3 linked regions of the Drosophila melanogaster genome follow. The protein of the gene in region 3 interacts with the protein of the main gene of each other region in a pairwise test. Each region holds a gene or a part of one and is shown on either strand. Other genes may lie near its edges.

Region 1 (4,617 bases), on a different chromosome or scaffold from region 3:
GATAGAGAGCGAGAACATTACAACGTCAGCGTCGACGATTTTTGCACGTCTCTGTTTATATTACATTCTGCGGCCCTTTTTTCGTGTGCTTTTTGCGCTTTTTTTTCTCGCCGTTTTTTGTTATTGCCATTGCGACTGTTACGTACGTGCATGTAAACGAACACGTAGTTGTGTGCGCGTGTGTGTCTGCGCGGTACATGCACATGTATATTCCCTATATGTATATTGGCATGTGCGCATGCCTTTTAATGGCAAGGGTTAGCAGCCCCTTTTTTCCACAGAGGGTTGCAAAATGCGTTTATACGCTTCTTTTTCTGTTTGAATGTACATGCATGCATGTGCACGTATGCGTGTATGTGTGAGTTATACATACGCATTGGGTGGCGATAAGGACGCGCTGATAAGCAAATGAGTTATCTAATCTCCAACACAACGCTCCTTATCATCCATGCAAACGTAAATGTGTACGTGCATATACATGAGAAGCGCAGTCTTCTTCTAGCTCGCCTTCCAGTAAGGAGAGATAAGGAGCAGGCAATCACGCCGTTTCACTCTGCCCTGAATAAGCGGTATGTGTGCCACTATATCGCCGCCTCTCTTCCTCCCACTCCCCCACCACGACCTTCCACCCACATCCAGGCTAGAGCGAGGCAGAAACAGTGCTCTGTATCCCGCGATCACGGCTCATATTAAAAAAAAAAAGGCGGGGGATTGGTAAGAAACGGTAAACAAATACAGTGGCCGCCAACTTTTTCAAACTTAGGATTTAAGCAAATTTCCTATGTTTCCGGAGGATAAAATAGTGTTTAATTTTATCCAGCAAATCTTAGATTGAAATTAGCAAAAAAAAATTTCCTCTAACTCACTTGTTTGTTTAAACAAGTTTTTATTTTTGTTTGACATTGGCTATCAAAGCAAACTGAAATATCACCCCTCGAAGAGTTTTGTATTTGAAATATTTTGATAAAATATACTTTAGAAGATATCAAGTGTTCACTGTGGCTGGGAAACAACATCCCCCTGGTCACTCCATTTTTTAATCCATATCGCGTATTTCCCACTGGCGATTCGATCCGATCGCTATAAGTGATAAGAAATCCATCACTGATAGGGGATTATCCCAAATCTGTTTTCCACCACGATAGATAGTGTTTTGTACTATCATTTATAAAGCCAAATATTTATCAACGCGGCACTTTTGAGACTCTGATCACTTTACTCTAATTATTATGAAAGGTAGTTTTCAAGGTAGTTGAAACTACTCCTGCTTTTCCCGAATCCCTACTGCAAATGAAAAATTTTCCCATTACTTGCTGCAGCAAAGTTCTTTCTATTGGGTAACCACTGTGCCAAGTATTTTGAATGATCTATGTCATGTTTGCTCACCTGCTTTGAAGGTCGATGCATCGAAACTGGGCGCTCTGACCGGCTGCTGCTTATCACGGAGTCCGCTAAGCTGACGCTCGGGCACATAGCTGACCGCCGCTGGCAGGGATTCGCCACGCGTCAATGGCGGTCTGCCGCCCACGCCACTTGGATCGTCCATGGCGCTGCGCTTGATGCCGGGCGGACAACCGCCGGATACGCCTCCGCCGGCGGATAGGGAGTTGCCAGCACTGCCATCTGGCGCCAGGCCGTGTCCCGACTGCTGTTGCTGCTGGCTTACATCCACATCGACATCCTCGCTGGGCGGACGCTTTAAATTCACGGATAGGGCGGGCGGTAGGCTGCCACCGCCACTGCCGGCGGTGGGTACGCCGCCGCCGGGTGCACCGCCACCGCCGCGGGTCGCATTTGGCGGCAGGTGGTGGGGCGTCATGTGTGAAATGCGTACGGGTCGTACGCCGCCACCGGGGGCATCCTCCAGCTTAACGGGATAGTCCAGTGGCGGACCGATGCGTGGCACTGGCATTTGATAGGGCATCTGATGGTGATGATGCACTGCAGCAGCGGCGGCGGCAGCAGCAACGGCATTGCCCAGCGAACTGAGCGAACCGGCGCCCGACGGACCTGGACCACCACTTCCGGGCGGAGCACCCGGTGGACCGCCGCCACCTCCGCCGCGATGGGAACCCGGTCCTTGTCCCGGAACTGGACCGACTTGTAACTGTTGTTGCTGCTGTAGGACGACGGCGGCCGCTGCAGCGGCGGACACTTCGCCGTTCTCATGGGAACGCTGCTGTTTGCTGGCGGGATGGAGACGCTTCATTTGGCGGGCGGCGTCCAGCACCGCCTCGATGCGATCGGCGCCCTCATAGTTGACGCAACCGCGGCACACCGCCTCCGAGAAGTCATTGATCATCGCCCAGGGCATGCGGGGTAAATCGCACAGATAGCAGTGCTGCCTTTTCGTTTGCAGCGACATCCTGCTGCGTTTCTGGAAACTGTCAACTGGCAACTAGCAACTGTCAACTGTCAATTGGCAACTGTCAATTGGAAGCCCTGGATGGGCTGGATCTGGAAATGGGTTTGTGCTGTTTTAGCTCACTGGAATGGCTAACTGTTCCTTCCTGCTGGATTCCCAATTCCTATTATTTATTATTTTCTCCTTTTTTTTCGCTTTCTTTTTTCTTGTTTCAGCTTCTTTTCGGTTGTGCGTTGTAGCTATTTTTCTTATTTAGCATTTGTTATTCATGTTTTCGTATTGATTTTCGCACACACGCACATATACACGCGCGCACGCACGCATATTTCACCGCGCTTCCACCCGAAAAAAATTCACTTATGTTTTTTCCTTCAGCTTCAGCTTCTTCTTCTTCTTCTTTTCTATTGTGCTGCGCCGCGCTGCTCGCCAACACGCACGCACACAGGCACACACACCACACACCACACTTAGGCACGCGCGCCGCAGAGTGAAAGAGAGAGGGTGCGCGCGAGTAAGCGGGACACGTAAATGTACGACGACGCCAAAAACGTGTAGGAACAAAACGAACGATGAGATCGCAGCGACGCAACGAATGACTGAAAAAGCGACCGGACGCCACACAGCTTGCTGATAGAGTGTGGCCTTGGCTGGTATGTGAGAATATACCCCAGGGGCCAAGCGAAATGTACTAAAAAATCTTCGCTGCCGCAATGGGAAATACCAAGAAAATACCTGAAATACTGGCTTATATCAGAGACACGAACCTTTCAGTGGACTTCAACCAGGGTTGCCAAAGTGGCTGAGACTGTAGCGAAGACTTCAACCATGATAAAGCTAAGGAAATTTTAAATTTTCTTTAAAATTTAGCATCATTTTGAGCATAGTAATTCTACTATTTCGTATTAATATATATAGCTTTTAATATATTGCTCCTAATATTACGCCCAAATATTAAAAATAAACCCTTTTGGCTGTTTAAGTAATTAAAAATAATATTTATTTTTATTTTTAACCCCCTTTGGGGCTACGACCCTGCCAGCGTACGTGCCTGCACGTCATATTCACGAAACGGAATCTAGTGACGAAGTCCTTCCCCCAAAGTCCGCCTGTAAGTATACCATGTAAAGTTCGTGGATACACATCCGTTTTTCGTATAGATACCGAACGTATGTACATAGGATACAGTTATGTAGACCTTGAATCTGGTATGCTCCGTCTCTTTCGCTCGGCGAACAGCTGACTTAACAGAGCTCTGTAACTGTTAATGAAATTAAAAGCCCTCATTCCTAGCAAAAAAAAAAAAAAAAACAAGGACATCCGTAAAGCACTGCGCAGGACCACAAACTGCAAGCATGTATGTGTATGCATATCGTTGCATATATGTACATATGTATAGGCGAAAATGCTTGGGTGTTCGTATTCCTGGCGTTTGGCCTGAATCGATTTCCCGACCATGGTCTGGGACAAATTCCGTATCTGTGCGTACATCCTGTTAAAAGGAAATGCGGAAAAAGGAGCCACCAGATACAGAAACACACGAACAAGCAACGACCTCGTAAACGGGGTCCTTTCCTTACACCCCCACCTTTCCATACAGTCCCGGCCATAAGTTTATGTCCGTGCACGCGCAACTGTACTCGCTTCTTAACATTTCATTTGAGATTTTATTTATGAAATGTTTGGCTCAATTAAAGATATAAAAATATTCTTTAAATTGCCACAAAATTAAAATTCCACAATAAAGACACTAGAAAGTTTAAAAGTTTTTTTTTAATTTCCTCTTTTATTAACAAAAAATGTTTTAAGATTAAAATCAAAAGAGAATCTACGAACTACGTTTATACACAAGCTTTATTTGTAATTACAGACCTTTCGACTCCCGAATAAGTAGGCAACAAAAACTGCATTAGTTATAAACTTATTTACAAGTGGGTAGAAAATGTTGCTATACTGATTATATATGTTCAACTGTTAAAAGGCATAAAGAATTGAATCGAAAATTCTATAAGCGTTACTCAATTTTCGAAAAGCAGGCGTATAAACGTAGTTACAAGGTGGTGTGGGGTCAAAATACAACACATTAAATTAGCTGCATATAAAAAATATCGCACATATTTGTTGTATATAGATAGTTAAATGCTAGATCGGTTCGGCGCGGCCACTGTTCTACTGGCATACGTCCGTATAACAAGGGCCCGACTCAAATGTCTTATGTAAGCAGTTAATTGCAAGCGTTTCGATCCTATATGTAT
Region 2 (4,982 bases), on a different chromosome or scaffold from region 3:
CCTGTACTCAGCGTTAGAGTGGGTAAGATGCACAATCTCGCCGTTTCTAGAATCTGCATTCTTAATATCAATGTTCAAAAAATATAGGGTCGAAAACTCATCCTTCTAACTGATACAAACTTTTCAACGAATGTTGTATACCCTTAACTCTAAAAGTAAGCGGTATAATTAAATACATGCATACATTTTTATAGCATTAATCGTTTATGTGCAACAATTTGATTTATTAATCTCATTACATTTTATTGGAAAAAATCAGACCAAAACTCCATAAAGTCAATCAGCAAAAGTGCCGTAAGGCAACCAAATAATTTAATCGACGGCATGTTATGGATATTTTATTTCTCTGTTCATTATAATGAGTTGATTAAGAGCTAGAGTAAACTTTCCAACCTGGCTAGACTCTGGTCAAGGAAAATTAACTTCGAGTGCGAAGTGTGGGAGGATGAAATGTACGCAGTTTATGATTGCCTTCACGCCTGTCTGGTCATTAGCCTAGGCACAACTTTGCCCCGAAAAAGCACATTTGCGGTCCCCGCATCCCTTGCTTTTTGTTTTCTTTTTTTTTATTTTGCATTTTCAGTAGTCCACAAATAAAACTTTTTTTGTTTGTTTATCCATGATGAGGGTTTGACAGAGATTGCTGTGATGGGGGGGAAGTGTAGGGCCAGAGGTCCTAAAGCATAAACAGATCAATAAAACAAGGCGAAGAAGAAAAGCCGACAGGACGACAGCCACAAAACTAGCTGAGGAATTCGCCCAAAAGAGGCCAAGAAATAACAGCGTCAACTGGCGCAGTTCCCATGCAAATTTCTCCAGACCCATGTATCTGCAACACCCCCGTCAGAAGAACCCAAGAACCCCATGGAACGGTGCCCATGGAACCCAGAGGCACCACGAGGACGACACTCTCCACGCCCATTAACTGTTGCCCGTCTATTTGTTTGTACAAATAATGTGTAAGCAGGCATATTTTTGTCAACGAGGCTAATTTCTGTCACAGATTTACGTGACAATGGCCCAGGCAAGAAGCTAGAGCCCAGAAGGCGCTGGGAAAGCCAAAGAAATCCGCATCAACACGCATACTCGGAATAAAAACACAACAATTACAAAACAGGTTTCATCCAGTGGGATGGGTTGGTGGGTGGTGGGTGGTGGGTGGCTTTGGACAAGTCTGGCAGTTTTTGGTCGAAATATTTTCGTTTCTTCTGCTGTCAGTGAAGTTGGTTATTCGTCGTCGTCGTTTTGCGGCCAGTTCGTAAAAGCCATAAAAAGAAATGTACCAAGCAGCAGTAGACAAAATAAAAAAAAAGAGGAGGCCCAAAACAAAACTGAGCTGTGAAGAACCAGCGTCGAAAAAAAACTGGGTTAGCTTGCGTACTCCCCCCAACATTCCCCATATTTCCCCACCTCCGTTCCATTGTTGCTCCTCGTTGTTTCTTTTTTTTTAGCACCTATGCACCGTTTTTGCGATGCACCCTGCTCCTGTCCGTCTTGGTTATTGTTGTCCAAGAAACTCAATGTGTGACACATATGCAGTCGCCACTCCCCCTGCCACCCACCGACGCCCACTCACCCACTCTGCCACTGCCACTGCAACACTACACCTCCAGATTTTTCTGCGCGTTCCACTTTTTCTTTCCATCATCTTAAAGACCAAAGACACAGATCCAAAAAATGTAGTGGTTGAGAAAAGTTTAAAACACTTATACTTTGTCTTTTAATCCTTCCTTCGAAAAAAATCTTTGTATGAACATTTATATTTCATTTGTATATACGTAGTTTCCTATTGTTTGCTACATATAAATGGCGATAATTTTTGGGAACCAAATTTGCAACCAAACTAAAATTGATCTAAAATTGTTAAAAACCACACATGTGTTTATATATTTTATTTGCCAAATCTACAGACATTTCGACTAACTCTCAGCTGTTATTTTAGTTGTTTGTCAAACAGCTGTTAGTTTATCAATAGCTCTCAATAAAACAAACTATCATTGCAAGTGTATGGTACCCAACATTTGCTTGTTAAATTAAAACCTTAAGCAAGTCCAACCTGATCCATGAACCAATCGAAATTGCATCCAATCCCTTGGACGGCAATGTAAATAGCCCGAGACATTTTCCCGATGCCTCAGCCGATCTGTGGAAACGCCAGTGAAGCGGCAGGATGCACTGGCCTGGCCATCAGAATCGGTGATTGACGCTGATACGTTTGCCACATTTAATTGGGAGAGTGGGTGGATCGCCACCCATCATCCGTCCACCACCCATCATCCACCCCCCGTCGAGGTTGTTTATTGACTGACAAGTGCTGCACATCCGGGCTGCGTTTGCGGAAATGAGCAAATGACTAATGACTGACCAGAGCGAAGGCACCCAAGGCGACGAGTGACCCTTGCCCACTCTGTTTTCTGTTTCTCCGCTTCTGTTTCTTGTTTACTGTGCGCTTCAATTAAAGCATCTTGCAGGAAATTGAACTTTTAGTCAAGTGCCTGGTCGAGTGAGTGGCTGGGAGTTGGAGGAGGAGGAGGTGGATGAGGATGATGATGTGGGGGGGCCAAGTGAGTGGGTGGTTCTTTGAGACAGCGACGGCGACTTGCTCATCAATCTGTTACGTACTTGACTTGTGGGTGGGTTCGTAGGTCGGCGGCTGTTCAGGGCTTGAAAAGCGTATCCGTATCCAGTTGTTGCATGTGCCTAGGCTACTTTTCTCTCCTTCGTTTGCTCTTTCTGCTTTCGTGCCACTTGAGTTTTGATTACTGATCACTTCACTTTGCAATCACCGCTTGATTACTTTTGGTATCATAAGCACTGCCGGATCTCCCTCGACCGATACGATCTCTGGTTAATGCTTCGCGGCTATCAAAGCCTATCTATTTGTGGTCACCATTTCGCGATTTTATCTAGCCGGCTAGAGGTACGAAATGTTGCCGTTGCACCAGCAACATCACTATACGGGCTGCCACTTGTGGCAAAAATGATAATCGGCGATGCTCACGCGCCAAATTACCAACGTGGACTGGCACATCCGTGCCACATTATGCGCATTTTATGGCACGTTGGCGACCTCGACACTCGCTTCGTTTTTAGATCACCCGAAGGCGAGGCATGCAACACGGAAATTGTTGTCCTAGGCGCAACAGACCCAAAAACCGAAGCCCCCGAAGTCAGTTGACACGACCCATGCCGCTGGTGCGAGAGCCCCAAAGCCCGAAGACCCACGATTACCGGAGCATCTGGGCATGCGCAGTGACTGAGCCGGAATTAGTATGCTATCTGGCAATGCTCTGTCATCAGGCGGAGTATTCAAAGAAATTCTAAACTGGACAGTGACTTGATGGGGGCAAAGACGAAGATGGATGTACAATAGGTGGATGGTGGGGGTGAGGTGCGGGAGATGGGCGACCGACCGGCCAGATTCAAGTTCAGGTCGCCCTTTGACCGCAAAATTCCGGCGGCCAGCTAATAAACTCCAGAAGAAGCCAAATTTGTTGTTCGAATTTATTGTGGAACATTCTTTCCAACTAACCCACAACTAAGACTGATAAATGGCCAAGCATACTGGCAATTTGCAAGTTTCTGACCGTTTTTAGAGCACTCAGTTAACCCCAAAAGTTTTATATGCCTCATCTAGGTGCGGCCCATTTCGGTCCTCTTACCCAGCACAGCTCCTTTTGCTGTTTTTAATCTACAATATTAGCCGGTAGTGATGTTTCAATTAATTTTTAAGGTGCACCCCAAACTGCCCAAGAACCGAAGAGCATAGAGATGGTTAAAGATATAAAGATGGAGGCTTTAAGATGCAAAATGGGGGCAGAGAACTCCGGACGAAGCCAGAACCGCATGCTAAGATATGATGGCAGATGCCAAGCAGGATGAATAAATGGCTTGGATGCAAAGTTTAAATTTTTCATAGTTGGGTGGCTCGGTTTGGTTCGCTTCGTTTCGTTTCGTTTGGGTTTGCTTTTCTGGGGCTTGAGTGGCAAAGTAAAATGTTCCTCATATTTGTCTTCTTGAGGTTTTCATCGGTCAAACTACGGAGCAATTGGACTTGTAGCACTAGCAGTAGATTATTTCATTAAGGCGAAACTAAGTTATGGTTAAAAATCATATCATATACCCTTTTTAAAACTCCCAAATGAAATAAACATCAAAATAGTGGACAAACAGCAATTGAACTATTTTTGAACTATTTATTTCTTAAAAGAAATATATTTAATTTATATAATTCAATTGAAAACATTTTATTTGGCTATTTACACATTTTAACGCCCATCTCACAGAACCCAGACACGGTTTTTACGAATTCTAAATACATTTAAAAGAAGTTAAAATCGGGTAAAAAACATTTCAAACATAAAGCTCACGGTCAAGATTATTCTTCTTTCGTCGGCACTTTTCATTTTCCAGAGCACAAGCGCTAGTTCCCTCAAAGTAACATTTGCCATCATAATTGCAGGTGGGCAAGATGCATTTTCCGCACGGCTTATTGCAGTTTTCTCCCCATGCAATTCCGATTAGCATACAGGCTGTTTGATTAACAATAAGAATGATCAAAATATTTAGAAAATCTTTAGCTTACCCAGAATAACTAAGAAAAACAATTTCATAATGATAGTAGCCGATTATAACTGACTTAAACAGTCTCAAGTACATTGCATTTTATTGGTTATATTGGTTAAGGTTAAATGCGTTAAAAAAGCATTACAATCCAATTAAATTTTGTACGAGATGGTATAATACGTTTAGTACATGTTAAAAATGAATGTGCGATTGACTCTAAACTTATTTTAGTCAGAAGAAATAGCTAACCGGTAGTCCACTAAATTCATTCATTCAGCTTGAGAATTTTCGGGTTAACTAAACTCATTAAGGTAAAATATGTAAAATAATAATTATTTAATTTTCTTTGTAAGACCACAACAATTGGATTCTGCTTCATAGTAATATACGTTTTCAAAAAATGCTGCACAAAAAAC
Region 3 (5,197 bases):
CGCTAGCAAGTGCACAGATATAAATATTCGCGTTAACTGGAACCGCATGCTGGGTACGCTGGGTTCTCTGCTCTCAGAGCCCCTGGTTAAGGCAATAGTGCTCTTCCTATTGACTTACTGTGCCCAGGAAGATGACCTGTGGGCCCTGTCTGAAGGACTAGATGCACTAATGGACATTTTCGCAGTGGACGACTGGCCGCAGATCATCGCGGAGTTGGAGATGTGCGATCGTGTCCAGGCACTAGAGGAGTTGTTCAAGTCTAAACTGCGGCAGCAGCGACGGGAGCTAAAGGAGCGACGAGCCACAGTGCAAACAGTGAAGACTAATTTTTCACGCTTTGTTTTTTATCTTAATAAGAACTGTAAAAAATAAATTAACATGACCACTAATTAAAGCTATTGTCTAGTTTCAGAGAACAATACTTTTAGTTCTTAAGCATGCCAAAATATTTGTCGACGATAATAGAAACAGAAAAAATCTGTTAAATTTGTAACTTCCTAATTGTCATGTCTTTTGTATTTATTAATATTCGACTAACAAGTTTTCCACTTAAAAAAGCGTTAATAGATCGATTGATTCCATAGCTAAAATGTAAAGCATATTTAGTTTTCAAGTGCAGCAAGTGTTTGTCCATTCTAGTCCAAATCCTTTCATCTGTTAAATCAAGTCCTTCAAAGTTTGATCCCTGCTAAATTTTATTATTCTGGTACATTTTTACAACTTCGACTTAGTCTCAGGCGGGTTCTTCTCGAGAACATTCTTCATTTCGAAAAAGGATTGCTCGAGGGTCTTAACGAACTTCAAGTGATCCGTTATTGGGCAATGGCGCCAAGCGGATATGGCCAATATGATGTCATTATCCCGAGGATTATAGCAGCATGCATAACCATCGTCAGTCGCCGGGCCGTATCCCATGAAAGCATCGTATTTAGTGGCTACCTGTGAGGTGGACATGCGGAAGTGACTGGACTTAACAAAGCCCGGCGACTTGAAGAACTCGGGAATTGGCTTGCTGTGCTCCAGAGCCATCAGCTTCAGTCCAAGCAGGTGACGATCCACACCCTTTCCCTGAAGAGCCAGCTTAGCATACGTCTGATGAGACACTACTGCCTCACGAAGCTTGGCGGCGCGTTCCTGATCGGTAACGTTTGGGTCCTGCATAGCGCGGGAAAAGGCCAGGGATTCGTTGGAGCAAGAGCGTATAGTTTCGGTTCGTCCGCCGTCGAATATGCGCAAGTGCGCCGACTCATATTGCGCAGGTGGTTCCGAGTGCATTCTGCAAAACGTAAATGTATTCGGCTATATTGAAAATCTGTAGGAAGATCATCTAGTTACTTGTAGAAGGCGAGCTGCAGCGCCATCTGAACAAAGCTGTCCGGACCCAGACGCTGTTTCTTTATGAAATCCTTTCCAAAGCCGTTGAATTTCAGAACCTTCATTTGGAGAGCATCGGCAAGTTTATCCACGTTTTCCTGGGCGACGTTCAAAGATTTCTCTAGACTTTTATTGCTCGAAGAGAACTGTATTTTCTGTGCAGGAGCAAAGTCCTGTGAGCCAGATTGCCCGAAGCTAGGGTCTTCCTTCCTAAAATAATATAAATTATAAATATAAAGTTGTTTTTAACCACATGCGCCCTATTCAACTTACATCTTTTGCACCACGTAGTCCATCATCATCGCAATGGGCTGGCCCTCAGCCGGCGAGTGCTCATAAGTGAATCCGACGTTTCCATTGGGGTTTACCACCAGCTGAATAGTCTTGTCCATCCAACGGTTGCCGCTGTTTATCTTGCTGCCACTGCCATGGATCAGCGATAGGATAAGTTCGTCGGTCTCTTCGCCTTCCTTTAGGATAGTACCCTCATCGAGTGAGACGGTGAACAGAGCACCCTGAATGGTCTTGAGGGCATCCCGGTTGCCAGGAGTCTCAACCAGATATTCGTAGGCCTCCGCCCAATTGTCCCTGGAGTCGGTGGTCAGAATACCATAAGGAACTCCCACTTGCGTTTCCTTCAAGACGATATTCTCGAGTTGAGCAGCTAGACATGGTGCAGCAATGAGCTTTCCCTCCTTACTGTATATCTTCAGTTGGTAGAAGTGATTCTTGTAGATCACCACCACATAATCGGAGTCGGGATTGTACACGATCTCGTCGGTGCCCCTTCTGGGAATCCGACATGTGCCGAATACCTTGCCAAACTGGCTGTTGTCCAGCTCGTTCTTGCCCATTTTAACGATCGGAATTTTGTTGGCGTGCACCATGTCGTTGAATTCTCCCAGTCCATAGATAACCCTGGCGGTATAGTCCACGAAAGCACGTGAGTCCCTGAAGTTTTGCTTGGGAAAGGTCATGCCAGGACTCACGAACACGGTGACTGGATCTCGATAGGTCAAATAGGCAGCCTTCAGCCAGCGGTGGGCCAGCCAATTCTTCTCCTTGCTGCCGGTTTCTTCCAGGAGCAGCTGCAGTTCGCGTCCCTGCTTTTTTAAAAACTCGGAGGTGATTCCCTTTTGCCGTTGAAACTCCTCAGGCGTCAGGAGAGGTTCCACAGTGGTCATGAAGCGGTTCAGCGTTTCCTCCAGCGGCAGGACGTGGTACTTCAGCAGATTCGGCTGCTCCAAGGGAATGGTCTTCTGGACGGTGCTGTAGCTGCTAGCGGGCAGCACTTTCTTGGCGATCCCATTTGGAGACTGCTGGGCCAAGGAGTTCTTGGTCTGGAAATCGAATGGGATACAGATTACCGAACGGAGAATCACAAGCATTCCATATGGAGCACTACCAAATTCCACAAAAGCTTTCCATTGCCACGGAACTTCATCTCGGCTTCGGTTTTCTCGAGGATTCGCTCAGACGTTGGGCTGCAAAACGGAGAAATGGTATTCGAGTGTTACTTTAAAGTCCAACCACCGGTTGGTGTGCCTGTGGCACTGAATTAACCTTTGATATTTGTACATAATCTACTTCTAGCTATAAGGAGCGATAAACTAATGGCTCACGATTAGCAGCCAGCGGAGGAGGCAAGTGCAAGCAAAACGGCAGTTGCCAATCAACTGGCCATCGAAAGAGCAGTCCACGTAGGCAGAAGGGTGGGAGTGGAGTGGAGCCCAACTTAAATGCTATCAGCGACCGGTTTATTTACTTTCGCTCTCCCAAGAGTGCGTCTCTTAATATCCATACCATACCAGCGAAATACACGATGATTACCATCTAGATATATAACCACTTTTTATATAATCCTTAACTGGTTCGACTGTCCTTGCCCATCAGTTCAAATAAAGAATTTAAGTTTACCTCACTCTTGTTTTGCTCCGGTTAATTAACATCTATAGATTCTATATAAACATATATGTTTATATATGTTTGTATGTTCAAATCAAAACAAGAAACAGCTGTTGTCAAACAGCAACAAGTAAATAAGCACTCCCTGTTGTTGGTTTAACTGTGCTATCAATAATGGATAACAATCGATTAAAATCACAAGCAATTCCAAAACTTCTTTAAAGCTAATATTTAGAAAACAAGCAATACTATTAGTATGCAATATATGTTCATGATAAGCTAGCGTACGTTTTGTGAATAATATCGATGAATTCCCAGCTCTAGTATTCATAAAAAACTAGGGGGGTTCTTTGCAGAAAAATTACTTTAGTAAATTTTCGGCACGAATGATAATCTCAAAACGTTAATATTATTAAGTAGAATAACGTGAACTTTTAAGATTTCAATTTTTTTTTTTTGGAAATCCAAAATTAAGCTTTAAAAAACTTTGCCCAATAATTTGTTCCGGCTTTTTATGAGACGAACCAAACTATCAATATAATGTTTAATCTGCTAAAAATTCTACCATTGGTTTTGCTGTATCATTTGATCTTTGCAAATTGTGATTTCACAGTCCGAACCGTTTGATCTACGTTTTGAAAAACTAACGTTAATACGCCACGGTCTCTGGATGAAAAATGTTGGCCCTTGTCGTTTTTCTGATTGCCAGTTGTTTGACCATTCAAACGGCAGCCACTACGACACCAAGTCCAGCGGTCACCGAAGCTGGTCACCCATCTCCTGGAGGTTCGCAAGGTCAAGAGGAGCCAGGAAACAGCTCCTCAACGGAACTACCGGACTACTGCGATCCCTCCTTGTGCCACAAAGAACTCAAACATGTGGCTTGCAACGCATCAATCGTAAGTTACTAAACTAAAATGTGTGCCACGTGATAACAACCAACTAATTCAAATTAACAAAACAACATTTTTTGTTCGCATACACTATATAAGGTATAAATGGTTGAAAGAAAGCCAAATATAAATTAATTTAGGACTTTTTCAAATTTTCAATGTCATAAAATTTGTTGATAAAATTGATTAGTGACGAATATTAATTTCGAATTGATTGGCTTTTGAGAGGTATACCTTCGTTACAAAATGTCATACTAAAAGTTCTGGGTTATTTTTGTTTCCAAAATGCGTTACTATCCTAACTTGTTACCAATAATATCTTCAGGAACTGCACGACAAGTGCTCTCTGGACGCTGAGCTCATAGTGATAAGCCCAAAGGTGGAAAGATTCCTATTAAGGCGATTTAATGAGTTGAGGGATAGCGTGGCCAAAGGAGGGTTCAACGGACTGAGTCCTGCCAGTCGGATGGGCACCTTGAAGTGGAACCCGGAACTGGCCTACCTAGCTGAATTCAATGTGAGGGATTGTGTCCTGAGGCACGACGAGTGCCGGAACACGAAGTTCACGCAAAACGCTGGCCAGACGGTTGGGTATCGAGGCATTAAAGGAAAATTGCCAGAGTTGGAGGATATCCTTAGGGATATCATAGGGGTGTGGTTGCGGGAAAAATCCAGAACTTCGATGGTGAACATCATGAAGTATGTCGAGCAGGAATCTCAGTGAGTACCACTTAAGGAATATATAGGGTTGTTTACTCGGGCGTCCTTACGGGATTTGGTAAATATTTCAACCTGAAATGATTATTATTTATTTTTTAATATTTTGTAATCCTTTCTAAATCTTATCTAAATTTATAAAAAGACCGAAAAATTGTACCTGTTGTTATTAGGAGACAAAGTATCTGAATGTTATAATTCTGTCACTTTTCTTCTTAAATTAAAAATTAAATTTTTCAAAATTACTATAAACACCAATTGATTATATTTTGACAACATAAATGTTGATAATATAAATATTTTTTTT

Evidence for each region.
Region 1: the proteins of CRAT (region 3) and Pits interact in a two-hybrid assay, tested with the Drosophila melanogaster proteins (one large-scale study listed by BioGRID).
Region 2: the proteins of CRAT (region 3) and CG4168 interact in a two-hybrid assay, tested with the Drosophila melanogaster proteins (one large-scale study listed by BioGRID).

Annotation. Positions count from the first base shown.
Region 1 is NC_004354.4:12,580,186-12,584,802, forward strand, and holds the start of Pits (protein interacting with Ttk69 and Sin3A), read right to left. Parts: upstream 3,009-4,617; 5' UTR 2,366-3,008; coding exon 1,387-2,365; intron 1-1,386.
Region 2 is NT_033779.5:15,197,452-15,202,433, forward strand, and holds the start of CG4168 (uncharacterized protein), read right to left. Parts: upstream 3,009-4,982; 5' UTR 2,623-3,008; intron 1-2,622. Other genes in the region: Sfp35C (seminal fluid protein 35C), read right to left, coding at 4,256-4,311, 4,371-4,532, 4,586-4,613.
Region 3 is NT_033777.3:6,370,522-6,375,718, forward strand, and holds CRAT (carnitine O-Acetyl-Transferase), read right to left. Parts: upstream 3,505-5,197; 5' UTR 3,325-3,504; coding exon 3,293-3,324; intron 3,054-3,292; exon of another isoform or gene 2,956-3,053; coding exon of another isoform or gene 2,939-2,955; intron 2,860-2,938; coding exon 2,781-2,859; intron 2,716-2,780; coding exon 1,649-2,715; intron 1,586-1,648; coding exon 1,337-1,585; intron 1,278-1,336; coding exon 716-1,277; 3' UTR 505-715; downstream 1-504. Other genes in the region: CG10286 (uncharacterized protein), read left to right, coding at 1-373; CG42564 (uncharacterized protein), read left to right, coding at 3,958-4,179, 4,499-4,893.